Linked DNA regions of Lonchura striata. Each later gene encodes a partner of the first gene's protein in a complex. Links are inferred from orthologs where the notes say so. Each region holds a gene or a part of one and is shown on either strand. Other genes may lie near its edges.

What was found.
Region 2: TAF3 (region 1) and TAF13 share a complex: the UniProt entries of both Homo sapiens proteins name them as parts of the TFIID basal transcription factor complex. The link is inferred for Lonchura striata from reciprocal best matches to the Homo sapiens genes TAF3 and TAF13.

What each region holds. Positions count from the first base shown.
Region 1 is NC_134607.1:68,962,232-68,977,710, forward strand, and holds the start of TAF3 (transcription initiation factor TFIID subunit 3), read right to left. Parts: upstream 7,782-15,479; 5' UTR 7,715-7,781; coding exon 7,549-7,714; intron 1-7,548. Other genes in the region: ATP5F1C (ATP synthase F(1) complex subunit gamma, mitochondrial), read right to left, coding at 10,870-10,876, 11,689-11,785, 12,730-12,885, 13,352-13,416, 13,810-13,953, 14,378-14,582, 14,940-15,071. UniProt on the Homo sapiens protein: The TFIID basal transcription factor complex plays a major role in the initiation of RNA polymerase II (Pol II)-dependent transcription.
Region 2 is NC_134604.1:23,953,073-23,968,036, reverse strand, and holds TAF13 (transcription initiation factor TFIID subunit 13), read right to left. Parts: upstream 7,726-14,964; 5' UTR 7,685-7,725; coding exon 7,658-7,684; intron 7,540-7,657; coding exon 7,461-7,539; intron 7,005-7,460; coding exon 6,907-7,004; intron 6,077-6,906; coding exon 5,906-6,076; 3' UTR 5,438-5,905; downstream 1-5,437. Other genes in the region: RMP64 (nucleolus and neural progenitor protein), read left to right, coding at 629-705, 814-945, 1,263-1,340, 2,191-2,552, 3,207-3,268, 3,707-3,957, 4,417-4,813; GTPBP8 (GTP-binding protein 8), read right to left, coding at 11,033-11,117, 11,561-11,679, 12,091-12,190, 12,545-12,675, 12,871-12,987, 13,152-13,250, 13,557-13,850. UniProt on the Homo sapiens protein: The TFIID basal transcription factor complex plays a major role in the initiation of RNA polymerase II (Pol II)-dependent transcription.

The DNA.
Region 1 (15,479 bases):
AATCTGTGGATATTGAACTTATCTCAATATTCTTCATGTATCTGTGCTATCCTCAGTTTAAAAATTCAGATGCTGAAGCCTCCCAGTGAAATAATTAATCTAATGTCACACAGCAAGTCAGTGCCAGATCACAGACACTTCAGAGCTTTGGTTTCCAGTCTCTTGCTGTTCTTTATACCACAACACTTTAAATACTATCATTGTTCAGGGAATGAGAAGGAAGGAGGTGCAAATAGTTTATCCAGCAAGTTACAACTCTCCTCCTTATCCCCTATGAACAGTGAACTACAAAAACACCTTTCTCACAAGATTTTAAGCTGCACTATCTCCCTGAATGGGAACTGTGCCCCAAAAGTAGTAAAGCTGTGCCAGCAGCAGAGCTAAATTAAGACCATTTGGTCTCAAAAGAGCTCACCAGAAACCTGTGGGAATGCCCATGCAGCTAAGATACTCTCAGCTTCCCTGGGCATGAGAAGGAGCACCAGGTGAGGAGGAATCTGCATGCCAAAAAACTGAAGTGACTGGCAAAGTCGGTGATGGGCAAAGAGAATCCAGGCAGAGCAGAGTATTTGTGTGGAAAGTTATCCAGCCCTCAGCCCCACCGCTCAGCATCACCTGCAGATGAACCAACCCATCCACAAGGAAAACCAAATCAAACAGAACAAGGATTGAGCACTAAACTCCCCTACAAACAAGGGTTTGGGATGTGGGGAAAAGGAATTTTTAGAAGCTCCTAAAGCTGAGTTATTTTTGTAAAAGTCACAATAATTCCTCCAGCAAACAAGCTGGCCAGTGCTCATGTCACCCAAAGGCACTGTGAGGGGTTCTGTGGGAGTTAGGGAACTGTCTTGCCTTAAATTTAGTCTCAGAAATAAATGATTTCCTTTTGTCAAATTCACCCCCTCCATCTCCTCCTTCCTGGCCCAAAGTTCGTATGAATGAGTGAAAATTTAACAGGTGAGTAAGTACAGAACATAAGAGCTTTTAGTTTCATGCCAGGTTTCTTAAGGGAAGCAACTACAATTCTGTAATAAATATACTGAGAAAAATTAATGAGTCACCACCCATGCAACATGCACATGTGTTATAAATAGCTCAGCATTCTCCCTCACAGCTGCTGTAAAAGAGATTTTTTTTTTTTTTAGATTTTATTTTAACCAGCAAATTATTAGGTATAGCTCCTTGGTATTTTAATTACAGGCTCTATCACAGACTCCTTGTGCTCCAGCATGTCACACAAAATTACTCCAGGATAACTGTTTCATAGAGACAACACAGCTTCTATCCAGCAAAGTCATAATCATGCACAATAGGTTATTTAATAAATTTAGATGCCTTACTTAAATGCACTTAAGTGGGGAAAAAAGGGTCCAATACCAGTCAGGCAAAAGCATCTTCTTGCTATTGGTGCTCCTCCTCCCAGTAACTTCAGAAACGTCAAGCAAAAAAAACCCACATTGTCCTTCTTTATATTAGTAGCCAGTAAGAAGTTAATTAGCTTAAAAGCATCAATATTTGTTACCAGGACATAAAATGCACACTTATAATGAATGTTACAGGCCCAGGATAGATCCTTGTTACAAAATTCAAGGGCCAGCAGAGAGAATCATCTCATTTAAACTGATCACCAACAGTCTAATCCTTTGATAGAGATTATTACTGTTTAGTGGTAAGAGTGAAGTAATTAAAAAAAGAACAAAACCAAAGAAAACATACAAGGTAAATCTGACATTATAAAGAAATAAAAAATTGGCTGATGCCAGGTGAATTCTCTCCTCTGTGGTAATTACCAATGAAAATATTGGTCTGCTGTTTGCATTCTCCTTTTGTCATAATGAAGTTTAGAGGAGACTGTGCAGACCTTGGAGCAATTTTGGAGCCAGCTCTGCCTTGGAAAACATTTTCCAATATCAACAATTTTTCCTTCCAGTTATAATACTGTGCTCCCCAGATCAGAACCTGCCTTTCAAAAAAAATTCAGCTGTATTAATAATACCAATTTCAATATAGTCATTAATATTTTTCTATGTATATATAATTAATATGTAGTCCTGCAAGGAATAGGGACTTGGACTCAATGATCCATGTGGGTTCCTTCCAACTTGAGATATTCTACAATTCTTTGTTTGCATTAAAAAAAATCTTAAAAAAAGTAGTCAAACAATATGAAACTAAATACCAACTTTGAAATTTTATTTCCTAACTGTTAGCAAATTTCAGGAGGAAAAAAAAATCACAGTATATAAACTCAACACTGAAAATTGAAGGAAAGCAAAGGAAAATCCACTTCTAAATTCAAAAAGTTAATTATCCAGTTTGTTACACTTCTAGTTGTAGCAGCAGGTAATCTAAATTTGTCCAGTTGAAATATGCCCAGATGTGATAAAGTTAAGTAGCTTCTATCTGACTGTTTTTTAGAGAAATGTATCACAAAAAGGAGACTTTAGGAGGTGTGAACAGGTCCCCTCCTCATCCCTCCCATGAACTCCATAATAGAGCACCACTCACATAAATAGACTGGAAACTGAACTCCCTCACTGGATGTGTTAAGAGGTAAAACATGACATATTCTGTGTGTCTATAACACATTACTCAAGCTACATCAGCTAAATTCATGGCAAACAAAGCAGATTCTGATCTGTCCTCATGGACAGCTCCCCAGCATAAAAAAACCCAACCCATACAATCCAGAGCAGGTAACTCAAAGCACCAGCTCTGTCACCCCTCTATCAAACCACGTGAAACAGGACTGCAAAACAAAGTGGCACCTAACAGGGAGCCTTTCCCTTTTCACCTCTGCTTAAAACCAACAACGCAGAACTCTGCTCTCAGAAACCACTCCACATCAGTTTGTTTTGTAGCCTGATACCTTAATTACATACTCCAACACTGGTTTTCAAATATTTAGTTTAAATTTTAGGATAAAACAGCTCACAGCATATTGAATGGTGTTCCTTTGACAAGCTTTCCACAAATTTGAGCAGCATAATACGGTGTACTTCAAGAAGAAAACCCTGATTTTCTCCCTGTAAGTTCAGCCTCTCCTCCAGCCCCCAACACAGCATTCAGAAGCATTTCACGGCACCAAAAACATCTCAAACCCGCTTTGCAAATCCTTTTGCCTTCTCTTTGCAGCCACAGAAGCTCCCATCAACTACAGCTCCTGCAAATGCAAAGAAACAACAGCAGAAAAGTAATGAAAATCTTGAATGTAGCTCTCCTAATGGGATGTAACAGCTGGAACAAAGATCTAACCCAGCTGGGAGAGCCATCATTTTCTTCTGCAAGTGAGAGGACACGTGAGCAGGGATGACAGGCTTTTCACAGCGATACCACGGTGTCTCAGCTACGTCAGAGTAAATCCATTCAGTTTGGAACACAAAGATTATGTCCCTCAGCTGACAGCCCTGCTAACTCAAACCCCACTGGTCTGACTCCGAGATAACGCCCTGACAATGAAGATGCTACAATTGGAATTTAATTAATTCTACTTATGCAAAACCATGGCAGAATTAAGCTCATTCATCCAGAGCTGGGTTTGTACAGTAACTTATTTCAGGAGCAAAAGGAAACAATTCTGAAATTGCAGGGAGATGTCAGCTCAGTATTAAGATGTCCTTTTACAAACCTTTTTAAAGAAAGAAATACAGGGATTGTTTTAAGAGACGTTGTACAAAAAATAGTGCATCACAGGCACAAACAGAGCACATTCCCCTTCTCCTCAAAGAAAAAAATTACAAAAAAACACCAAACAAGAAGACTGTGATACTTGTGGTGCTTCCTTCCCCATTCATAGAGTGGAAAAATGCCTTTCCCCACTTTCAGTAAGCAAACACAAAGCAAGAAAGGTATAGCTGAGCTCTACAAACTCCAATCCTCAGCACCAAAAAATTGCATCATCTTTATGTCTTTTCCTCCCAGTCTTAGAAACACTGCACCACAAGCATCTTCCAGAGAATTTGTAACAACCCTATGAAAGGACAGCTCTGGCCAAACCTAGGTGAGCATCTTTTTCACCCCATAACTCCACTCCTAAACCCTCTCTGTTGTCTCCTTTAATCGCTTTAAAGATAATTTCTGTGTGGACAGGGATACAAACTTCAGAGCTGCACTTGTGCTGCTGGGATATAGGGGTTAATATTGCACAGTCCCATTTCTAGACTAACTTGCTCTCAAACTTGGGGAAAGTTGTACAAGTAAACCTATTCAACCTGAGAAATCCAGTCTGCAGCACACAGTTGTTCCTAAGCTTAGTTACACTGGCACTGTCAGACTTGATCTCAATTATTCCTGAAATGATGAAGCAGAGCCAGGACCAGATACACTCAGCTGATCACTTTGCTTCATGGGGGATCCCTGCAGCAGTGAGAACTTCCCTTCTTCAGAGAAGGAGCACAACCTCCAGCAGCAGCACTTCCAGGCTGTGGCTGCTCCTCTCCTAACCAAGCCACTCACAGTGCCCCTCCCAGCTCTGCACACTCTCCAGATTCACCCCTGCAGAGGAATCCAACACACCCAGACCTCACAGTTCCTTGGATCTTAATGCTGCATCCAATCCAGCACCAGCTGACAGCAACATGCCTCTGATGCTCCTCTCACCTGCGACTGACACCTCATTAGCACAGTTCCCACAGAACAGAAGTACTGGCAAATATTCCCAGAGGTGCATTTCAGGGCTCCCACTCCCGTTACCTCTCCAGCAACCTCCTGCAGGTCCCAGCAAATTCTCTGAACTGGTGGTGGCTACAGTAGCCCTCAAATCCACCCCCAGTGAGTCACCTTCTCCCTACCCTGGACTTCAGGCAATCAATTATCCATCCCAGCTCCAACCCCTGCCAGACCCAACTGCTCTGACCTCTGCCCCAGGGGCCCTCCAGGATTTCCCCATCACTCATGGAGCAGCAGCTGCCTACAATGCCACAGCTCTCCAGCATGCCAGAGGAAAGGGGAACATGTCCCTCCTGGCACAGGAGGCACAAGCAGCCCTGTTTTCCCAGGCATACAGCCTACACCCACCTCTCCGGAGTACACCTGCTCCCCAAAGTCCCTCTGCTATGGAGATCCCCCTTCATCTCCTTCCTAATTCTCACAGATGCAGCAGGAGCACTGGCAACCCCATCTCTGCATACGAATCTCTGCCACATGACACCCTCCCTGTCCCACATGGAGGGCAGCAAAGGCCTCCACACACAGACCCATGACCCTCTCACCACACCCACAGCCTGAGCCTTGCTCCTCATTCCCCACATTTCCTGTGTTTAGAGCTGGCAGTGACCCTGACAGCCTCCCTCTCCCTGCAGATTGCCACCTCCCCACCCCTTCCTGACCCACCCAAACCCAGCACACCCCTACCACCCTCTCAGCCCCACTGGCAGCATGACTGACCAAGCAAGCAACTGGACATCCCACCCTCCAACCCCCCATGTTCTGCAGGTACAGCAGGACATCCAACCCCTCAGTAGCTCCACTGCAGGCTCTGCAGGGACACAACACTGCATCCTCTACCATACACCCAGACCCAACAGTGCTGCTCCCTTCCCAATCCCATTCCACACTCCTGTGTGTGATCCAGCCAGCAGTCCTTGGCACTGATTCCCAGGCTTCTCCTCTTTCTCTTCTCCCACTTCCTGTAAACTCAGCCCTTCCATGCTCCCAGCCCAACACAACCTCACCTCAAATCCAGTGAGGCCTTGGGCATCACTTCCACTGCCCTCCACCATCACTTCCAGCTCCCTCTGTACCACCTCCATGGCAGAGCTGGCTAACTCCAGTCCCCCACACATCCAGCCAAATCTCTTCCTCTGCCTCCACACAAGGACACCCATACCTCATGCCATGTGCACTAAATTATCCCCAGCCCAAATCCACCCTTTCTGCACTCCACAATTCCCATGTGCAGCCATGCCACACTCCCACATCCTGTGCACTACAGCTCCACTTCCCCCAAAACACATTAGGGCATCCTTGCCTTCCCACATTCCCCATACACATTCCCCAGTCCCACAGTACCACTGCTTCCCCCCTGTACACAAACATTCCCAGAGCACCCCAGCAACAGGACTTCCAGGCACACCACTCCCTCCCCATGCAGGAGGGAGTCCAAGCCTTCCACCCTCCATCCTCAGCACTTCCCCTTGGGCCAGAATAGGAAACCCCACACACATCTCCACCTGCAGTGGGCCCCTACAGCCCCCTCAGGCACAAAAGATGACCCAAAGATGAGCCACGACAACACAGCACCAAATCCTCCCATGTATACATCCCACCAGGAAAAGAGGCTGGCTGCCTCTTCTCCTTCCAGTTCAATCTCTTCCCAGATTCAGAACATCCCAGCAATAGAGCCAAAACTCCCCTCTCCCCCTTCCCAGCACCCTGCACGCTGTAGCCAGAGAGAGTGGGACAGCACCCCCGTGTTCCCACATTCCAGACCCACTGCCACAGAGCCTCCTTTCCTCCAACCCCAGCCCCACAGTCCCAACTCCTCACCCATACCCAAACCCACTGCCCCACAGTCCTCCGTGGCACCAGGACCCCCTTGCTTCAGCACTGACCCTATGCCTTCCCTCCCCATCCTCCCAGTCCTGTGCACTGCCCCATGGCCCAGCTCCCCTTCCCCAGAGCCCCCAGCCCATGGGCTGATCTTCCATAAACCCACTCACTGACCCAAAGACCCCAGCACTGCCCAAATCCCACCTCCCCGCACTCTTCTGCCCTGCCCAAATGACCACACCTCCATGACCCTCCTCTGCCAAGCATCCCCAGCTCCTGGCACTCTTCAACAAGCAGCAGCTTCCAGCAGCCCTCCCCACACCTCCACAATGCTACCCCACAGCCTTTCCCCACAACCAGGGCCCCCAGTGCTGCCCAAACCCACCTCCTGTGCCCTCCTGCCCAGTCCCCAGACCCCAATGCTGCCCAAACCCACCTCCTGTGCCCTTCTGCCCTGTACCCCAGACCCCTGCCCAATCTCACCTCCCTGTACCCTTCTGTCCTATCCCCCAGACCCTTGGCTTGCCCAAACCCACCTCCTGTGCCCTTCTGTCTGTCTTATCCCCCAGACCCCTGCCCAAACTCACCACCCTGTGCCCTCCTGCCCTGTCCCCCAGACCCCAGCAGTACCAAAATCCCACCTCTCCGTGCCTTCCTGCCCTGACCCCAGACCCCAGCAGTGCCCCACACCACCTCCCTGTGCCCTCCTGCCCTGCCCAAGCCCCAGCAGTGCCCCACAGCACCTCCCTGTATCCTCCTGCCCTGTCCCCCAGACCCCAATGCTGCCCAAACCCACCTCCTGTGCCCTCCTGCCCTGCCCAAGCCCCGGCATTGCCCACACCACCTCCCTGTGCCCTCCTGCCCTGCCCAAGCCCCGCACCCCGTGCTCCTGCCCTGGCCCGCCAGTGTCCAGCGCTGTTTCCTTGGCAGGATGGCCGAGCCCGGCAGGGCTCACGGAGCTCACTCAGCCCGGACCCTGCTCAAGCAGGGCCACCCACTGAGGCCTCCGAGGACCGCGTCCAGCCGCATCCCCCCGGCCCAGCCCCAGCCCACACTCACAGAGCTCGCAGTAGCGGTGGCAGCCCCGGCCCAGCCCCTGCAGGTACCGCTGCAGCACGTCGGTGAGCAGGTCGCAGGCCGAGACCTGCACGGAGTCCCAGCCGAGGGCCTGGCAGATCTGCGCCACCGACACCCGCAGCAGCCAGCGGGAGTAGGTCTCGCACATCCCGCCGGGGCCGGGGGCCGCGGGAGCTCTCACGCACCGCCCGCCGCCGCCGCCGCCATCTTGGCGCCGCCCCGCCCCCGCCAGGCAGCGCCGCTCCAGTGCCGAGCGCATCGAGCGGGGCGGAGCGCGGGAACGCCGCCCGCAGCAACCGAGGCCGCGGCCCGCAGCGCGCGGGACACGCCGGGGTCGGACACGGAACACGGGCCACTGTCGGTACCGCAGCGGGACACGGAACACGGGTCACTGTCGGTACCGCAGCGGGACACGGTAAATGTGCCGCTGTCGGTACCGCAGCGGGACACGGTACATGTGTCACTGTCGGTACCGCAGCGGGACACGGTACACGTGTCACTGTCGGTACCGCAGCGGGACACGGTACACGGGCCACTGTCGGTACCGCAGCGGGACACGGTAAATGTGCCGCTGTCGGTACCGCAGCGGGACACGGTACATGTGTCACTGTCGGTACCGCAGCGGGACACGGAACACGGGTCACTGTCAGTACCGCAGCGGGACACAGTACATGTATCAGTGTCAGTATCGCAGCGGGACACGGTACGTGTGCCACAGTCGGTACCGCAGCGGGACACGGTAAATCTGCCACTGTCGGTACCTCAGCGGGACACGGTACATGTGTCAGCGTCGGTACCGCAGCGGGACACGGTACACGGGCCACTCTCGGTATCGCAGCGCCGCTGAATGTCCCCCACTGCCCCAAGGGATCGTACAGGAAGGATGCGACAAGGCTGTTTACAATGGCTTCGAACTGAGAAGGAGTTTTTGATGGGATATGGGGAAGAAATTCTGCACTGTGGGGGTGATGAAGCACTGGCACAGCGTAGCCAGAGAAGCTGGGGATGTCTCATTCGTGGTGGTATTGAAAGTCTGGTGGGATAGTGAAGTGTCCCTGCCCATCACAGCGGGTGCAACAAGGTGATCTTTAAGGTCCCCTCCAACCCGAACCATCCTGTGATTCTATGGTCTCTATAAATAATCTCAATATCTCTAAATAAATATCTCAGAGAGCTGTCAAAAGGATGGTGTCAGACTTTTCTAAGTGATGAGCAGTGACAGGATAAGGAGCAATGACCATAAGAAAACCAAATCACAAGGAGTTTCACCTCCTCAGGAGGAAGAACTTCATTACGCAGAGGGTGGCAGAGCACTGGAACAGGCTGCCCAGGAAGGTTATTTTTCTCCCTGGAACAGGCTGCCCAGGGAGGTTATTTTTCTCCTTTTTTTTTCTTTCCAGCTGGATGGAACACCAAATTGGCAGCAATAAGGAAAAAACTGTTTCTCGATGACTTGTTTAATTGGGGAAAAAAAAACAAGTAGGGAAAAGGATGGAACTCCGGTGGCAAAAAGGATCCAGAAACAAAATTTACAGTAACTGAGTGGTGTAGGAGGTGCAAGAAGGAGCAGCGCAGCTCTTACTCAGTGGTACCTGTGGAGATACACAAGAGCTAAACTGTAACTCAGTAGTTGTGTGTAACTAATCAAGAGCATGGAGGACAGAACTGTAAATAACAGAACTCTATTATACTATATTATTACTCCAGTATGAAACCCTAATTAGTTCATAAATTAGCACTTTAGTTTATGAGTAGTCTGTTGTGTCAGTCACACATCTCACATCTGCTGCCTGAAGAGCAGGACCTGGACCCCGAACAAAGTCCTGAAGCTCCTGGTTTGGTTAACAGCTCAAGGTCCTGAGGGTGGTGCCCTCAGAGCTCCATACTGGGACCAGTATGAGCTTCTCTGGGCAACGAGTGCCAGGACCTCACCCCCTTCACAGTAGAGAATTTCTTCCCAACATCCAATCTATCCCTGCCCTCCATCAGTTTAAAGCCATTGCCCCTCATCCTGCTGCTCCATGTCCTTATCCAAAGTCGCTTTCCAGCTCCCCTGGAGCCCCTTCAGATGCTGAAAGGTCTCCCTGGGACCTTCTCCAGGCTGAAAACTCTCAGGGTTTGAGAACAAACTCTCCTCAGGAGAGGTGCCCCAGTCCTCCAACATTTACATTTCTATACACACACTGACCATGCAATAAACTGTGCATTCTAAATAACCTCTGTAGTGACTCAACCAATCACATCACTTAATTTTAAAAATTCAACATCTGCTAACAGTAGCAATACAAAATTCAAATAAGAGATATCAGTGTTCTAGCTGTGTGATGCAGAGGTTATTCCAGTCTCCTCCTTGAGCCCACAATACAATGTACCTCTCAAAGTAGATCATTTTCAAAGACAGGGTGAAGTTAGAAAATCTCTTCCACTCTTCAAAAGAAACATCCACTTACATGTTTCACATGGCATATAAACTAAAAGTATAGAGCACAGACTTCTAAGAAACAAAGTTTCAAAGCACACCCAAGCCCAACCCAGATATTTAGACTCCAAGAGCATTTGCTCCACAGACAAGCAAAAGGATCTGTTTCACGGAGGTCGTTTATTGTACGAATTTACAAATTTCTGGGGCTTTTCCACTTCTTCACAAGATAACAGAGCAGTCTTGTTAACACAGACACAGGCAGGCTAAACCACATATGCTCAGAAGAGCTCCTCTTCACCTGTAAATAAAATTGAAACAAATCAAAATCCTTTCATCTATTTATTTATTTTAAACTGCTATTTTCCCCAATTTGAATACTTCATTAATATTCCTCACCACCCCCCAACGATTCATCACATCTATTTTTTTCTTACATTTTAAATTTTGAAATTTTCCTTACATTTTAGATTTTGAATATGTTCATGTTAATACAGAAACCTCTTTATGTATGTCTGACATACAGACACCTTTAAGTAATTGCATAAAGTCAGACCACTATACAAATATTCAAACAGCAATTGCAAATGAATCCAACAATAGAGAAAAAAAAACCACAGAAAATTATAACTCATCTGGGATTATGCTACCATGGACATATTTTCCTTAAAATTACTGAAAAATAAGAACTCTTTGGACAAATTCAAACTAAAAATGTCCAATTTCACAGCTCTTTAGGAAGGAAAGCTTCTGTCTGACCAAGACCATTTAATTCTGTCTTCCTCATCTAACTTTGTATTTTCTGTGTTAATTAATTTTAAAACACAATCCAACTTCTATGACATAACTTTACCTCTTGGATTTGGCTGAACCGCTTTTTCCGATTAATCCCTGGTTATGGTATTATGAGAAAAAACAAAACAAGCAGGTTAGGAAGCAACTCATGCAAATTCAGGCAAAACTGCACGGATTTATGACCACAAATGTATTGTGAGGAGCACAATACAGCACCAAAATAATATAAAGTACATATTCCAGGCATTCTGTAAATACACAGGATATGAACACATGTATTTCCGTACAGAGCACAAATTTTTAACTGTTACAGTAGTACATGTGAGCTACATGCAGTTACAAATTGTGGTCTAACCCCACACATTTGTAACCTGCAGCACACACCTGCACAAAGCCTCATCCTCAGGCAAACAAGCAAAATACTAAATTTCAAGTAAAATACATATTCCATATAAAAGATTCCGGAAATTCCCTCTTTGTAAACCCAGACCCAAACTCTCAGCTTCTGAACACCTGATTTATCCAAAAGCATTTCAGTCACATCATTTGCTCTCCCCCACTCAACACTACTGGGTTATTTGACCAGGCAAAGCAGGAAATGTCCAGGTAAAAAGGAAGAGGGGGGAAATCCACCAAAGGCCAGAAGGAAAATCCTCACCTCTCCAGGCAAGGATGCCTGGTGAGGCTGAAGATCTATTTTACCAGCTTTTAAACTGCATTTGATCAGAAAAAACTGCCAACTTCGCTCTGGTTAGTAGAACTGCGCAAGCTGAAAAGCTTGGGAGCCATGCCAGGGACTGCCTTCCCTCTGGTTTTAGGACCTACAATCCCAAAGTTTGCCTGTTACCCTGGCACACAAGAGCACATGACTGCAACAGCTCTGACTGCACGTTCATACAGATACTCACAGAGCAGCAGCACCAGAGATGATCTCAATGAGCTCCTTGGTGATGACGGCCTGGCGGGTGCGGTTGAACGTCAAGGTCAGCTTGTCAATCATCTCGGCTGGAATAAGGCCAGATTGGAGTTTAAACACAAAATGAGTGTATAAATGCAGATACAGAGAAGCTCTATGGGCACAATATCCAAGTTATTTGCAGTGGTTTACAAGACACAAGAGGTTTAGTGCACCTGACATTTTTTCCCTGCAGGTAATATTACCAAGAAACCATCTATAAACCAGCTTGAGAACTAAGCTTGTCAGTCAAACATCTGCAGAACAGCTGGCAGACTTGTAAATACCAGGCCTGACATTGCTTATTGTAACATAACACAAGCAGGCATCATTAGCTTTGGAATTAGATTTCACTGTCAATTAACTGCATTGTTATTTCCTTCAAGTTGTGGCAAAAGGAGAGATTTTTCTCCATTATTTTTTTCTCAATTATTTCAGGTATCACCTCTTTCTCTCAAGTTGGTCATCAGAGCCATGCCCACTATTGCAGGCAGCCCAATTGCACATCACATCAGTTTCAATCACCAGTATCCTTCCAAGGAATACTCATATATTCTCTACTTGCTCCATGACAGGTGGTATTGAACTACTGTTTAAGTTCCCCCACCTTTAAATTGCACTGCACTAATTATATTTCCTGAATGAGTAAGTAAAGATTTATAAGAATTCAGGAAATTCTCAGAGCAGCCACATGAGAGGAGCATAGAGAATATTTAGCCATTGTAAGATTAGTTTAGTATTTCATATGCCTTTTAAATAATCTGTTATTTCACTTCCAGTCCTAGGCTTGTTTCTCAACAGCAATCCCTCTTTCCAGAGTCTACATACAGCTCACATTTGAAACAGAATCTCAATTGTACTGGCTAAAAAAAGCCACTCAAAGTGGAATTAAGACAGGAAATAGCTGATTTTTGAAGGAAAGGATTACAGAAAGGGAGGTCAACACTTTGTTGCTGAACAACTGAAGTCCTGGAGAAGCCAGGGAGCAGCTTACAAGCATTCTTGCTAGCGTTGTCCATGGCAGTCATCCTGGCGCTCTGCTCGCTGGTGGTGGATTCTTTCAGGGAGTAGTACAGAATGTTTGCTAGCGTGAACTCCTGGTAGTTTCTCAGCACGTCAGCATCAAGATCATCATAGATACTTAGGCTTTCTGCAAACCATGGAGGAGCAAACTTAGACACATCCAAGATTTGCTACTTCCAGCAAAATACAATGACACAGAGAAGATTACTTGTCTGGACTGTTTCAGTACTTAAGGCAGTACAGAGAGACTCCCTGAACATATTATGTGTACCTTCAGAATCTCTATGCTACTTATAATTCTGTTAACTGTTTTATGTGTTTTAGTTCAATTTAATATTAGGAAAGTCAGACCAAAGCAAAATACATTATTACCATATTATGTTTAACTTTCCCTTACAATGCTGCAGAAACATTCTCGGAGAGCACCTTTCTGAGCCAGCCTTGGACTGATCTTGGCCAAGACAAAACTATCTGTTAAACTATGATACAAGCACCATAATAAGATGTTTTAAAATACCATAGTCCCATTTTCAGAGTACTTTTCTTGTGATTTATCACTGCATGTAACTGGTGGTTTCTAGCTCCCTACTTACCAGAGCCAGCCACCGTTTCAAAGGAGAAGATTGGTTTCTCATCAGTCTTGTAAGAGATGACAGACCTGTACAAAAAGAGCAAAACAGGTTCTTCAGTTCAACTGAACTGACTCTAAACAGAATGGTTCAAATCAAATTAGAATAGACAACTTCTGGCTTTGCAATGCCACAAGGTTTTGTGATAACACTGATGAAAAGATCTTGGATACCACATGGATATAATGATGTGCTGACTGTAAATGTTACAGTGTTCACTACACACAAGTCAAAAAGGGAGTTCTAACCACAGCTACTAGAAAAAACAGCCCAGTTCTTGACACACAACAAAATCAAGAAGTGAATATGCCATATATTCCCTTTCATATTCCCTTTCAGTTTTCATACAACTTCATCAGGCCAATATACTCTTGGAAGCATTCTGCCAAGTATTTTTCCAGTGAAGTTTAGTTCAACCTTACCTGAACCGATTGTAGATGACAGAGCCTTCATCAAATTCATACCCAGAGTTTAACAGCTCTAAAGCAATGGCTGAAGCATCTCCAAAGCTTGGAGGTCTCCGTCCCACCTCTTTGAATGTCAGCAGGAAATAGTTGCCATGTGTCCTGCAGCAACACAAAACTGTGCTAGAACCAAGTGGATGCTCTAAAACACGAGCAGCAAGACTTACTAGAAATAACTGTTTGTAATTTAGGAGTGTTCAGAATGAAACATTTTACTGAATTAGAGTCTGAAAGAAACTTTGCCTTTAGTTAAACTACAATAGCTTCACAATACACACATGTGTAACAGCATCAGTTGCCAGCTTTTATTTCAAGAATATAATAGTGCTGTGCAGCAGTCTCTCAAATTGTGACATTATCAAAACCACTTTTAAAGTATTTGCAGTTTTTTTTTTACAGGAACTTGAATTTAACACAGTTCCCTTAAATGCAATTTCCTGCCAATGGCACACAATCCTACAGTCTTGAAATTTCTACCAGAGACAACAAAACTCTAAACTAAACTTTTGGACCCCATCCTTTTTACCTTTGAAGCAGGCCTCTGATCTTGTCACCTACTCCAACCACCATAACCTCCTTCCCTGCATTTGAGAGGTTGGTAATTTCATTCTTCAAGGTTTTAGCAATAGATGTATGGATAGCACCACACAGGCCTCGGTCAGAGGACACACCAATAAGGAGGTGCTTCTTCTTGTCCTCAGGTGGCTTTATTTCTGCTTTCTCATACAGAGCTGAAAAAAAAAAAAAGATCATAACATTTTTCAAGGGTGCCAAAAAAGCTAGTAAGTAATAAAAAATGCTCTGAAATATTCTAACTAAAACCAATACCAAAGGGGCTCCAGATCTCAGCCAGATTAATTTTATCTCCTTTGCAATTGTTCCAAGTTTGCACACGGTCAGACCAGAAGTGAGGAATAAACAATTCAGAGCCAGTCACAGCTCTGATCAGATGTCACTCAGTGAAGTTCACTGTGCAAATTCTTTTGGAAACAGACTACTGGAAGGTTAAAAAGCCTTGGCATTTTATCACCACTATGAAAACCTCCTCTTCTAATCCCCCATCACTAAGTGCAAGATCTTTCTCTCACACAGAGCTCCTGTTCCATAGACCCTCGCAGGCTTCAGCTCCCTCTCAGCTCTTGCGTATTTGGCTGCAGAAACCATCTTCATGGACTTGGTGATCTTCTGGATGTTCTTGATGGACTTCAAACGCCTGGTGACTGCAAGGTTAAGAGTTGAAGGTCATGGGCTGTACTGGGCACTGTGACTCAAGCCCAAACAACAAAATGCCAGCAAGAGCCATAAAAAAATATTTTGCCATGTTCCTCAAAGAAGAAGAAATAAATAAACAAACATCACAGAAATAAACCTCATGAAAGACCTTGGTACTTGCAGTAAGACTAAGAATGTAGCTAACACAGATTCATCTTTACAATAGAGATGTTATCTCCTTCAGATATAACATTCATTTAGTATTTATCCCAACATGAAGTCTATTTACTATTCTCTTTGCTTCCACCTCTACCTGTTTCACAAATATATTATTTGAGGTATAATGTCATCTTTCACAGATGACAAGCAGAGGAAACAAACAAACAAAAAAGTCCCCATAGTGTGAAGACAGAATA
Region 2 (14,964 bases), on another chromosome or scaffold:
TCACGGTTGAGCCCAGTGGGTTTCTTGGCCCTGTGCAGCAAGTGCAACTTCAGTTTTCCAGCCCTGGTCTCCGATACTCACGTTGAGACCCAAAATAGGTACAATTCTATACCTTTGTGTACATGAACAATACAGGGATATAATTCTCATATAATTATAATAATGGGAGGGAGGAATAATAATCCTGTCCTACTTATTAGATACTTTCTGTTTTAAGATGAAAAATGAAGACCTTGTCAGTTTTCCAGGAAAGGGGTTATCAGCATCTTCAAAGAACTGTTTTGAATTGGAGCAGGAATGGTGCTTACCTTCTTGATTTGCTTATGTGTTTTTTTTCTTGACATCCAGTAGTATAGGCCCTTGTATACAGCAGGGAAATCATACAGCACCAATTAAACATGGCCTACTCCAGTCCTTCACTTAATTCTATATTTACAGTAGAGCAATGAAGGAATGTTTTTCATCGTAGTGCAGATACAGAAAGGTCCCAGAACATGCCATTACACAAACCTGCAGTGTAGGCTGTTTAACTGATAAGGAGAAGGTGTCATTTAATATAGTGACAGTTCTTAGACCAGGGCACTCAGTCTCTCAAAATACCAGTCAAAGGAATTTGCTTTTCTCCTAGGTAGAGCAATGTTTGAAGCGCCTATGGAAAATGAATCTGGTGGGCTGCCTGGAAACTCTGGTAAAACTGATTCCCAAGTAAGTGTCATGATCCCATATCTTGTACTATCCATTAACTCAAATCTGCAGAACTAAAGGAAGAGGATACTAGATCATAACCAACTCTTCATCCTTGTCTCAACACAGGAAAAATGCATCCAAAGCCCACACAGAGTGCTTAGTTCCCAGCCAGCCTATGCTGGAAACTGTGGCTCTGAAGGTATTGGGAGGCTGCAAGCTCATACTACGTCTGCTGGATTGTTGCTGTAAAGCTTTTCTGTATCCTTTCTTCACCACAAAAACATGATCTTAGAGTTCACCAGTAGCACCTCATATAGGCCCTGTATTGCTGATGGACTCAACTGTGCAATTCATATGTGGAACTTTAAGTTCCTTTGACAGCCAAAGACCTTCTTTTCAAATTATTATGTAGGGACCTCAAGCTGTTTGGCTAGCAGCTATTCTGACCTTCAGCAATCCAAAATTTGGATACTCATCTCCCAGATTATTCCTTGTGAGTTACCTCTCGTTGGTGTGTTCAGCAAGTCTCATTACATGCTGTTTATTTTTTTCACCTTAACTGCTGTGATCTTCAGCTTGTCCATTAAACATCTCTGCTCGAGGGAATTCATACTCCTGAATACTGTGGCTTTGGGGCTCCTGAGCCGGCTCTGGTTTGTGTGTTCAAAAGTCTGTCTTAATTGTGTCTGTTTGATGTGCCTGTCAGGGAGAAGGGCTTGTAATTAGGCCTGGCTGCTAAGGGAGTTTTATTCAGTTGGGAGTAGGAGAAGAGAGGTCACTCCATTCCTCTGGACTCGATTTTAGCACCTGCAAAGCTGTACAGGTGGAGAGAGACTTCTTACATGCTGTTATGGATGGCTTTGTTCTTAGATCTTAGCAAACTGTATGTAGCTTTAATGAAATCACAGTGTTAGTGTCAACCTGCCACAAACACCAGGTACTCTGTGCAGTAAGGAGTAAGTCCTGCCTCATGGGGAAATGGAAAGGCTGGGTTAAACATGTTCTATTATACCACTGAGTTTTCTAGGGAAATTGATGTTTTGGTCTCTCTCCATCTGGGAGAATAACTGCTGTCTGTAGCTGAAGGAGTAACAACATTGTTAGAACAACTTGCAACTTTCTGTGGCACAAGAAATCTTCTAACTCCAGGAAACAAAGAGCAGACAGTTGTATGGTGTCAGGGCTGCGTTGGTGCTGGGTGTGAAGACCTCATGGCACCTTGGATGTGACCCAAGAACCTGATGGGTCCCAAGTGTGACACTCAGCAAAACTCTACAGAAACGGAGGGGCTTCTTGATCAGGAATTTACAAGTCACTCCTGTATTCTGGTGTGGAACAGTTCCTTGAAGTTCAGACTTAAGGAAAGCAGGGTGATGGAGTGTAAAAAGGTAAATTTGTACTGAGTGGAAACAGGGAAAACAACAGTTGAGTTGAAGGTAGTTGTTCAGTGAGCATCATGTTTTGCTGGAGGAGACTCCATTCCTTTTTGTCCTCTGTCTACAGGATTCAGTACAGGTGTGTATTGCAGACCCTCGTGTCCCTGTACAGTGCCTTGTCAACAATGCTTCATCTGGTATCTGAGACCCAACAGACCCCTTATATCAAGGGGTTTACCTTCCCTTCTGATATCAGTGACTTCCTTGGGGTTAACATATCTTCTGAGGCAAAGAAGCAAAAGGCTAAAATGCTTACAACAAAAAAATCTACCAGCTGGATGAAGAAGTTCTTCCCAGCAATGCCAGAGGCAGTATCAAAGATTGGGAAAAAGAGAAAATCTGAGACCTGTACAAGTGCCATGGAAGACCGTAGCATCCTGTGCCCCATGGACGTTGGAGAGACAGTTGTGGTGCCCACAGCCAGGAGAGGTAAAGCCTTGTGCCAGTGTAATTGTTTCTGACATCTCAGAGACTGTCTGCAACTTCTGTCCAACAGGACCAAGCACTTCTACCCACAGTGTGGTTCTAGTACAAACTCCCTGTCTTTGGAAGAAGAGAATGCTGCATGTGCCCTTGCCTTTATAAAGCTGTGGATAATGTTAGTATCATGATTTTTGGGGGTTGTTTCAAACAGGATGCAGCCTGGAGAGAAGCAGGTAATGAATGCAGTATATAGGTCCTGAAAATAGTTATTTGTGCTTTCCTGCTTTTGCATACCTCAGAAGCTGTCTGCTGTCCATACAAGAGTAGGTAAGGCTGTAAGGTACAGGATGCAAGTATCCTGCACTTGCTGGTTCTGAACTGTGCCCAAATCTTCTTTTGCATGCAGGGCTATGGCCAGTGACTGCAGCCATCTACATGCTTGTGTGAACCTTTTATCCATTAAGTTCTCCTTTGCAGCCATCTGTAAACCTCCGCATGCTCTTCGTTCCTTGCCAGCTGCAATGCACGAGTGTAGTCCCCTTGAGTTTGCTTGGAAATGTTGAGTACAGGTGGGAGCCTGCTGAGAGCTCTGTGGCATCTCTGTGCAAAGAAATAAAACTATCTCAGTGTTGTAATGGGAAATCTCTTCTCTCTCTGTAGGGAAGCACCCAGCGTTTGATGTGAAGAGCTTGCTTAGGCCATCCAGACATCCAACACAAGAGGTTTGTATGGTATTGTTTTACATGTTAGGTTGGTGGTTTGGTTTTTTTTTTTTTACACAGTAGGTTTTTTTGTATTTTAAAGACTAACACTTAAAACATGATATCCCTGATTGAAAATGTCCCCTTTTCCTGCCTTATTTTTGCTTGTCTAACAACTCAGGCTAGTGTGGACACTTTGCACAGAAATCAATCACTACTTACTTCTGCTTAGGAATTTGGCCATTTGTTTGTTTGTCAAGTGAAATGACCAGAGACCAAGTCAGTAGTAGACAGGAATACAAATTCTAAATATCTGCCTTTTCTTTTTGTATTCCATGAAACAAGATTGCACTTCCCTTTTCTAACTAGAAAATAAGGAATGTTCTCACAAAAATTCCAGAAAAAAGGATCAGACACATGATCTTTTTAAAACACTCCTTCTGTTACTGTTTCTTTCAGGGTCTAAGCATTACATCAACACCTTTTAAAGCAAAGTCATCACCACTTTCATCTCAGATAGCAAAATCACAGCATGCTGGATCTCTTGTACAGATGGTCAAAACAGCTGCATCATTTGGGGAACTGTCAGAGGCACTCAGAAAAGCTATTCTGTGGTGCAAAAACAACAAATTCAAATCAGAAGCTTATTTTCTGCGTAACAAGTTGTTGAAAAGCAACCGGCTACACCATGTGGAGGCTCAAGGATGCAGGTATTTTTGTATGGGTGTGGGATTTCTGAGTCTAATACTTTGTATTTTAATATTATGTATTTTGCTATAGTATAGTGAAACACAGTGGTCTAAGCCATTCTTTTAAAACTCAGGGTCACTATTTCCGGTTACTGGGTGCTCTCACCATGGGCATTCTGTTTAGTTTAATTCACTTGTGATTTAAAAAAGATTTAAAAGGCTGACAAATGTATGGTACTTAGGAGGGAGGATGAAAATGCAGCTTAAATGATCTGCATGTTTTATGGTAACAAATGTACGAGGCAAGGATTGTCTCTGTTAAAACTACCTTGGCTACTATTGTACAAGGTGCTGTTCTGTTTCTCTGGTATGATAAGGAAAATGATAGAAATGAGTAACTATGAAATCTCTCCAAATTCTGAATGTAGTAACACTTCAGTAGCTGATAAAGTTCTGTTTTGTACACTTTGCTCCCTTAAGCTTGAAGAAAAAGCTGCGCTGTATCAAAACATCTGTCTGTAAATACCTCCTGTATGGATCACAACACAGGCAGTGGCCAAGGCAGCGCCTCAGGGCACGGCTGTGCCGAAGGAGGATCAAATCATCTGCACTCTTGAAGACAGCTCCAAAGACTGGTGGGCAAAAGTCTCTGGAGCCTTTTGGAGTGTGTGAGAACAGTGCATCACTCATCCTCCCAGCTTACCAAGATGGGTCTCCAAGTCAGGAAGAACATTCCAGCACTGATACAGGACATGCCAGACTAAGCACAATGGGGACCCCCAAGGGGCTGCTGCTGGAAGGAAGCCCTGGCTCGGTGTGGAAAGAAGCTGCTGAGAACACAGATATTGATTCTATTTTTGCAGCAATAGGTGTCTGAACCTGGACTTGAAGGAGGAAAGGGGTCAAGTAATTCTAGTGTTTTGTTTCATTTTGTTTTTTGAAGTAAACTCCTCTGAACACTAATGGTGTCTCAGTAACTCACATTGTGAATTCTGTTAAGAAAGTAACAACCATTTTATTATGTTTTTGTAAACCAGGTTTTTTTTAGTGGCTGATTTTTATATTTTTAAGGGTGTTCCAAATAAAGGAATAGTCACCATCCTTTTACCTACCCTTGTCCAGGAACACTGACTTTGTTACCTTTACTCAATGTCCCCTCTCTATTGCCTAACCACGTGTCAAATGCTGCTGTCAAATCCACAGTGCAGATAATTCCCATCCATGGAAGAAAGGCTGCAGAGCTGATCACTCACTGCTGCTTCGGACAAAAGACTTGCCAACACATTTCCAAACCTTACACCCTTCCTTCTGTGCTGCTTGTAGAGGGGACAGCCTTGATATGCAGTATTATTGCTGTTACAGCATTTGTTACGCTTGCTCTGAAATCAGGAGTTAACTGAACCTACCTCCCCAAGCTGTTCCAGAAGTAGGGAAAAGCACAGCTGTGGCCTGTATTACCCACATGGTATGAACTGATCAATGTATATTTAGTTACAAAACATGGGCACAAACATATGTTTTATTCAAAAAGCATGTACAGAGCAAAGAGCACAACTTTGATAGTAGTTTGAGTTTAAGGTCTTTATACAGATAACCAAGATCCATTTTCAGGGTTTCCTATCACAGGAATACCCAGTGACAACTTAAACAATTTTAGAAAATCATGAACTATCAACCCTTGAGCCATCTGATAAAACACAGGCCTACCTGAAACAGACTCCTGCCACTGCAGGAACTTTTAGAGCTTTTTCTCATTTCATCAAATGGTATAAAAATACCTAAATATACCACATACAGTCACGTAACATTTCAGCTGCTTGAATACTTCTCAGAAAAGGCTGGGAGTGAGGGTAGACATCCCAACAGTGACCTCCATCCTAAAAAACCCTTCCAAACAACACGCGCAATCTTCAATTCTTACTTGGCAGCAGGTGCCCAAATAATGCCCCAGTACAGCTTGTGCACAGAATCAAGACCCATAGTTTGCTTCATCAAAAGCCTTTCTGGCTCGTTTCAGTTCTTCATTCATAGTTAGGAGGTCCTTAACTCTGGCAAACTTCCGGGGGTCCTTGCGTATTAGAAAGACGATGTCCTCAACCTGTACCCGACCCTGGCGCCCGATGGACATGGCCTTGTGTGTCTGTCAGAGGAGAAAAAAAAAGGCAACAGTATTCCTTTGCCATGGTGCTTTTTTAAGGTCTCAATTCCACTTTATTCCTTGACATTTTATAATAAAAGAGTAAGCAATTGCTGATTCTGGGCACCATCATCCTAGTCACAAGAGAACTTCCCAGTAAACCATGGACTTAGTCTAATGTCCCGAGCTGCCTGTCAGTTACACCCCAAACATAACCACTACAAATGTATCAGGTAATGGTATCAAAACTAAGGACAGATTACACATAGGACATTCAGCCTGCAGAATGGCTGAAAATTAGGCACAACTTAGAAGCAGTATGAAGTAACTGTATAAGAGGCCAGTGCAGAACATTTTGATAAGATAGGAAAGACCAACCTTTCAAAACAAAGGGATATGTTTGGATACTTAGAAACAGCATTTAGGTCTGGAAGAGAAATGGGCTCAGGCCCAAGAATGCATTCATTTTGGAGGGCAGAGCTAAGTTCCTATCCATGTACAGGCACTGGGCAAACAAAACCTGACTTTCAAATCTGAGCCTTGTCTTCTGTCAGCTGCACATACAGTGAACACCAAAGTCAGATGGGTACCTCCCCTCCTACAATATTAATCTAAATGCTGCTTAAAGCCTTCAGTGTTCTAAATCCACATGGAGCAAGATGCATAAATTTTACTTTAATCTTGGGAAAACAAAATCCAAGTTTAAGTTTCTCCTATTAATGCCATGAGTTTGGGGCCTGGAATAATGCAATATTTGAGTCGGAGGTATTAACCTTCAAAAAAGGCAAAGTTTGGTGAGGATGTTTTGACTGTGCCATCTAGAGTTGACTTACCATTTCAGTGATAAACTCTATTACCAGGTCCTCAAGAATGTCCACTGATTCTGTGTAAGGGTTCTGGTCATCCCCAAATCCATACATCATGCACCTTACTGCACAAAGAAACACTCAGTGTGAGGCTTTCATCCATTCAGTGCTGCACACATCTAGTTAGAGCTCACCAGCCTGCACATTCCTGCACCAGGACGGCACTCTCATCTGTCAGGCAGGACAAATCTTGAGGAAACATACAGGAAATAAACATAAGACAACAAAAGCCCTCCTGTAGGTACAGGAGCTGTACATACAGAAAATAATGTCTGAGGACAGGCTCTCTGAATTCTCATTTAGGCTGCAAAGCACTGCACAGTAACAGTGCAGCTAACTTTGGGCACAGCTATGTCTAGAGGATGCACTAGCAGTATTTTTGAGGGGGAGGGTCTACATGGCAGATTTCTGCAATTGCAGCCAAGGCATATTATGAAAGCCGCTGTTTTGCTAAGAAATGAGTTTTGGGACCCCATAGCTGTCAGCTCGGGGTTTCAGCTGAATGGCCCGGCCCGACTTACGCTCTTTGGAGAACAGCCGCTTCCTCCTGCCCTGCCCACCGTCCAGGCCCCCGCCGGCGTCCTCCGCGTCCTCTTCGAACTACAGGGGCACAGCGCAGGGGAGGCCGCGGTCAGCGCCCGTCCGGCCCCGGCCCTTCCCGCCGCCTCTCCTCCCGCGGCTGGCCGCGGATCCCGGGAGGGCAGCCCTCCGCACTCACCGGCACGTCCTCCTCCTCATCCGCCATGGCCGCCCGGCGGCCCGGAACCGCTGCGGCAGCGCGGCCCCGCCCCGCGGCCCCGCCGGGAGGCGCCGCCGGGCCTGCCCGGGCGGGCGTCGGCCCCGCGCGGCCGCGGGCGCGGCTGCCCCAACCTGGCCACGACACTCAGTGGCGGGTGGCTAGATCGGGATAGCGGGGCTCGAAAGAGAGCTCGGGAGTGTCTGCTAACCCCCCTGCTCCACAGAGGGTCAGCCACCAGGTCAGAAAGGGTGGCTTTGCACAGTCGGTTTGTTCGGTTGGCAGGGGCTTCTCCTTCCCTTCAGCGAGGCACACTTGCCCATGTTCACAGAATCATGGAATGTAAAAGATTTGGAATAATGGCCCTTAAAAATCATCTAATCCCAACCCCTCTGCCGTGGACACGGACACCTCCCACGAGACCAAGTTGTCCAAGATAAGCCTCCTCTTCCGGTTTGTCCCCTTGTCCTATCACAGTTCCTGATGGGCCCCGTCTAGCTTCTCTTTAGGCTCCCTTCACATACTGGAAGGTTGCCGTGAGGTTTCCACCTTCTGGACAGTGCCCAAAGGCGCTTGTCTTTGTAGGGGAGCTGCTCCAGTCCTGTTGTATTTCATACAGTTGCTGTCAGCCCCTTTGCTCCAGCCCTGCCCTTGAGCATGCCCACTGTTCCCCTCACTCTGGTGCCCTAGGCACATTAGCTTTAATCTTGCAAGTAGGTGAATCCAGCAATGCACCTACTCCAGATTACTCATAAAAATGCTAAAATGGACACCTTCCAGAATGGATCCTTGCCGTGTTCCACTTTTAACTGCCATGCGACTGGAGTATGAGCCACCGGCTCCTATGCTCTGTGCTCGATTATTCAACCAGTTTTTACTGATCTACTAGTGCACCTGTCCAGATTGCAATGTTCTCATCTTGGACACTATTGCAAAAATACTGCCTTTGTAGTGTCAGTTATGGCAACAGACAAAACCAGACCAGACCCAAGACATGGTAGAGGAAGAAAATGGACAAAGTACTGCTGAAGGACCAGGGAAGACGCACAAGATGAAATCCTTTTCCATGGAAGCTAATACTCAACATGATTTCTGTAAGTAACAGCTGTAGAAGAGGCAAAGCTTTACCAGGTAATGACAGGAGCTTTGAGTGAAGCTTATGCACTGCAAACAACTAAAGACATTTGAATTTAAAACTGAAATGAGCTCTACTGTATCAGCATGCTGCCAAGCCCACCCCACCATTCATTAATGAGGGGGAAAGAAAGGAAGATCTTTTGTGTCTCTGGCCTGAGAAAGTGCAGCTCCTCACTCTGCAACTCAGCCGGTACCTTAAGAACCTGGCAAAAAAACCTCCAGTAGTGTGTCAAGGCACCTGTGTACCCAATCCCTGTTCCCACAAATGCACTGAAATAAATTTTACTGTTTAGGGGGAGGACTTGATTTTATTTATTGTTTTGCCACAGGGGCACTGTCACACTCAAGAATCAAACTGTTAGTGTTCTCTCCTGCAAATAGCTAAGAGCAAAATGCAGGAGTTATTCCAGTATCTGAAGCGCTTCCGAATAAAACCATGATGTGTCCAGAGGTAAAGTTGGTTCTTCTGGAGAAGATGGTACCTAATGTTCCATGCACACACATCCAGCTTGTTTATAAAAATGGATTAACTGGACGTATTTAATGTATTTAAGTGGTTAGTAAAAGACTTCCTAGCACTGTAATGAAATGTAAGGGGTTTTGTTCTGAAGAGGGACTAAAACCAGAACTGCACTTTTTTACATATTCAGGGTTCTTTTCAGAAGCCCTTCAGTCAAGGCTGAGGCCCTGAAAATTACAGCCTTGACAAGGCCGATGTTTTTGGAAGATCCTGGTTTAAAGGATTTACAAAAAGGCCTTTCCTGAAGTGTTCACTTTCACCTGTTCCATCTATATAGCTACTACTGCATTTCTAGGATCATGCATCCCTTGGGCTGGTTTGCCCTGCAGCATTTTGGGATTAGAGATAAAATATTAACAGAATTACAGGTTTAATCGCAGAAGCTAGCGAGCCATATTTACTGTATTCCTCATATTCTCCTCTTACATGTATGCTGAAAACAGATCTTGTCTCATAACTAGTGTGTTACAAGAAATTGCATAATGAAACTGGTATTTCTAGTCCTTTTGCACTATCAGAGTGGTTTAGAAAAGAACTTTCCTTTTTGAGGTTTAAACACTTAATGCAAATAACTGACAACTGCATAACCACATTTGACCTGACAAAGATTGAGTGCCAGGGTTTGACACAGGCACTTCATAGCTTCAGATTAAGTTCTCCTGTATGACTGCTGCTATTTATGGCTGTCGTTTTGTCCAGTTCTGCCTTTTAACTGGACAGCTTCAGGTGCTCTTAGCTGCTGTGGAACAGAGTTCCCCTAAAGCATACAGTGCTGTGCTTCAGCTGCCAGAGTAGAGCCACTACAGATCATGGATGTTGTGCCTCAGATCTGGCAATTCATCCAAGTGGTGCTGCAGAAATTCATGCTGGATCTCAAAACAGAAGGTAAATGCAGCACTGACTCATGACAAGTGTGCAGGACAGGGTTCCTCTAGATGTCAGTCTTTTATTCCACTCTGTTTCAAGTCAACACTCATGGAAAAGCAGATCCCATAGAAGATGTGTTCTTTCCTTCATCCTTGTGGAACAGGGACAATTCAATGTCTGCAAGCAAGGCATGCCATCCTGCTGCACCTAATGGACACAGAGGACTTACAAAAGTACAATATACAAGACGTTAAACAGACTTTCACAGACAACAGGTTGGCTATTTCCACAATGCATGGCCTCAGAGCAGGTAGGCTGCAGAGGAGGTAGTTTTTGGTCCCTGCTATCCTAATCCTAATCCCAGCTGAGAGAAGTAAGTAAGCCTCTGTGTATCATTCAGTTCAACTAGGCTTGCTTAATGTTAGGGCTGTAGTTTTTCTTTCCTAGATTAAATGCCTCTTTATTAATATTACTAGACTGTATCTAGTATCTTAAATATAGCAGAGGTAAGGCATGGAGTAGTAGATTTTTTAACATTTCAGTGTAGGGAGAGGAAATGGTGTATTAAAACTTCCATTCTCTATGGAGGTTACCTACTTTTTTTCTCCTTGGCACAATCACGTAGGCTTTATGAAACAGTTTTATAGTAACTTGGATTAATTCATACTGCAAACTTCCTGAACTGATGAACTTAATAAAGAAAAAAATTAGCTATATAAATACTAATTTATTCAAAAATACCATAATAGTAACTTGGGTTATTTGCAACAAAAACCGAGACCTGTTTTTGGTACCTCTTGTTCCTGATGAGCCAAGCAGATCAGCAGGTCTTTTCAGCTGGCCTCTACAATAGGCAGGTTTCCAGTAACATGGGCTACAAAACACCTGAGCAAGTGAACCCCCGAAAACTCCACAGAGCTGTAGAAAAAGAGTCATAGATGTTCAGTGCCACATACTGACGTGTCTTGGAGTAATAAAGGCAAATAGCCACTGGCTGTGCTCAGTTACATGTCCCACAGTACACCCTGGGAAAAGCCTGCACTTTGGCTATGTAATCCAACAATTACAGCTCTTACTGTTACCAGAACTCCAAATAAAATGGGAAGGCCTGCTACCATGCTGCACAGGAACTGCTGCTCTGCTTTGAGAATGGTCAAATGAAGAAGCACCTGGAAACAAACTTCACTCACTTGCAGAGAAGGGGGAAAGAAGAAAAAGGACATTTCCCCATCAGCAGCCCACCTTCTATCCTTGGGGCACAGAGAGGTGCTGCTTCTAGAGCAGACAGACTTGTTTTAGGTATCTTGCCCTACTGAACTCATTACCAGAAAGGCAACAGCAGCAGTGGAGAGGAGCTTTACCTGACCAGGAACAGCTGAGGAAAGCATCCCTGAGTGCTCTTCTTTACGAACTCCTGGATCTCTAGTACGTTCTTTAACAATAATCCCCTGGAAGCTCGATCAATTTTTGTTAACACCACCTGCATGGATCCAGAAAAAGAGGATTCAAAGAAGAAAGTAAGATGATTTTGCTGTTAATCTGGAACATCTCTAAGAGTCCTAAACGGTCTTACAAAGCAGTCTGAAAGCTCTGAAAGGTCATATCTAGGGGAAAAAATAGTCTAACACAGTTCACCAAAACTACGGCTTGCATAAGGAGTGCACCTTTTCCAGCTGCTCAAGCTGAGCACTGAAAAAAAATATATTTAATAAACCATATAAAACCCCCTCTTAGGTCCTATTTGTCTCCCTCAACACATTATAAACCTATTTTATTAACAATATAGGGTTACTGCTTAGGTAGGACAAGTTGCCTAAGCTCAGGTGGAGGGTACACACCTTTCTAGATTACCTGTACCTTATAACCAACCCAAGAATGAAGCATTACCTACCACATAAGGAATCCCAAACTCTTCCAGCATCTCTACTGCAATGTGATCTGTTTTCTGAAGTCCAACTACACCATCAACTAATAGGAAAGTTCTCTTCAAGCTGCCAGAAATACAAGCAATAGTAATTGTCACCATTATTTCATGCCTGCTCTGCTACTTCCACATTCATAAGCAAAAATAAGTAACGTGGGATTTGGGGATAGGAAGAGCCAAGAAAAGTCATGCATGGAAACTGAGGGTCAGCATGGAACAGCATCTCAATCTTTCCTGCTGTTTTGATCTGTCTGAGCATAAATGAATGACACTGCAGAAGATTCCAGGGAAATGATGTCAGAACTAGTGGATGGAAGCAGCTACCCCTCTGCATTTTCTCCCCTCATTACATGACACTGTATAGGGGTATAGGGGTGTCTGTCTGGCTTGCCCTGTGCTGATGTACAGGTAGGTCCCTTACTTGTGCCGTTCCTGCAGATAGGCCTCCACCATCTCAACAAAGTCCTGCGGGGAGCGATAGCCATATCCTGGCATATCCACCAGAGTAAAGTACTTCCCTACTTTGAAGAAATTAATCTTCTTGGTGTGGCCCTGAAGAGAGGATTTAGGCAAGATGAAAGCACAGAGGTGGTTTCTAAAAAAGCTGCTTTAAGCAATACACTAGGAGGTGCTCTGCAAAGTATCTTTATACCAGATCCCTTCCCCCTGAGAATGCTTTAAACTGCCCGGTCTCCTACCTGTGCAGCAATCCTACGTGGCTCTAATAATAAAATGGACTAAAAATACCTTAATGGGTCGCTGAGCTTGGTTCTTCTCAAAGGTCTCTACAGCACACTGCTCAAGTTGTGCAGCTCTGTTGTCTGCCTGAAGAGCCAGGCTGGGCTCCTTCTGCCTCTTCCTGGGCTAGAGCAAGGCCAGTGCCAGCCATGAGGATGGCCACCAGAGCTGGCACTTTCCTTCTTTTCTGGCTACTCAAGAGCTTCTTCTCTCCCACCCTTCTCAGCCCTATCCTCTGGACTGGTACCAGCCTAAGACCCAGGGGGAGGGAAGTTAAAAAAGTCACTCACCGGAGTTTTTGACACTCTAACTTCCACTTCTGGAGCCAGTGAAAACAAGGCCCGGATTAAAGATGATTTCCCCACGTTGCTTCGGCCGATGAAGCACACCTGCAGGGGGAGAGGCAGAGAGGGCACATCTACACCTCTCGCTGCAGCCAGTCCTGGTCACTTCCCAGCCACGGACATGTCAGGCTGCCGAGTTGCACAACGGGGAACAACGACAACTAAACGACTTGTTAAAAAAACAGCAGTAAGTGCCCCACATACTGCGCAGCGCTCTGACAGCCGCACAACCACTCCATCACCCCTTTATCCCCGCAGCGCAGCTCAGCCCAGGTCGGGGTGGCCCGGGAGGGAGGAAGGCGCTGCCCCGGCAAGGTCCCGGCCAGAGGCGCGGAGCAGTGCTCGCCTGACCTCAGGCAGGGCCGGCGGCGGGGCATGGTCCATGCGCACGGCGGAGCTCACGTAATCGATGGGGTGCCCGCGGTCGGACCTGAAGAGCGCCTCGGAGCGCTGCAGGGCGGCCAGCCCGGGCTGGAAGAGGCGGAACGGCGCCGTGTCGGTGCCGGGCGCCAGGTACCGCTCCAGCTTCTGCAACGGGAACACGATCGCGGTGCGGCGGCTCCGCTCCAGCCGCAGCACCTGGGAAAGGGCGGCCAGCGGCGGCGTGGCCCAGCCCGCAGCACCCCCAGCCCGGGCCAGCAGCATCCCAGCGGCTGCAGGCGGGACCCAGCCCGCCCCGGAAGGCGGCGGGCGGGACGGCGGGCGGGGCGGAGCGCGACTGTGGGTCGGTGCCGCAGCTGCCCCCGCCCCGCCGAGGGCTGTCAGGGCCCCGTACAGGGCGTGCGTTCGCCGTCCGCATCGGCTCCCGGGAGCCGGAGGTGCTGCCCAGGCCCGGCTGCTTGTAGAATCACAGAATGTGCTGAGTTGGAAGGGACACATAAGAATCATCAAGTCCAACTTCTGGCCCTGCACAGCACCATTCCCAAATCGCACCATGTGCCTGAGAGCGTTGTCCAAACACTTCCTGAGCTCTGTCAGGCTTGGTGCTGTGACCACTTCCCTGGGGAGCCTGTTCCAGTGTCCAATCATCCTCTGGGGAAGAACCTTTTCCTGATATCCAACCTAAACCTCCCCTGACCCAGCTTCAGGCCATTCCCTCGGGTCCTGTCATTGGTCACCACAGAGAAGAGTTCAGTGTCTGCCGCTCCTTTCACCCTCACAAGGATGAACTACAGTGATGTCTGTCCTCAGTCTCCTCCAGGCTGAACAGCCCAAGTGACCTCAGCCCTTCTGAGGCCCTTCTCCATCCTCATTGCTCCACTTTGGACGCTCTCTAACAGCTTTATACCCTTTTTATCTTGTGACCAGAACTATACACAATACTCCAGGTGAGGCCCCAGCTCAGAGCAGAGGGGACAATCCCCTCCCCTGCCCGGCTGTGATGCTGGGCCTGATGCCCCAGGACAGGGTTGGCCCTCCTGGCTCCAGGGCACTGCTGGCTCAGCTTCAACTTTCCATCAACCAGGACCCCCACATCCCTTTCCATGGTGTTGCTTTCCAGCATCTCATTCCCCAGTCTGTCCATACATCTACGATTGCCCCATCCAGATACAGAATCTGGCCCTTTCCCTTATTGAACTTGATAGGGTTGGTGATTGCCCAGTCCTTTAATTTATCGTGGTCTCTCTGCAGGGCGTCTGCCTTTGAGCGAGTCAACAGCTCCTCCCAGTTTTGTATCATGTTTTCAGCTCCGTGTCTTACGTCTGTTCTCAGGCCAAGGCCAGCCACACTGTGGAGCTGCTGAGGGCTCAGTGTGCTG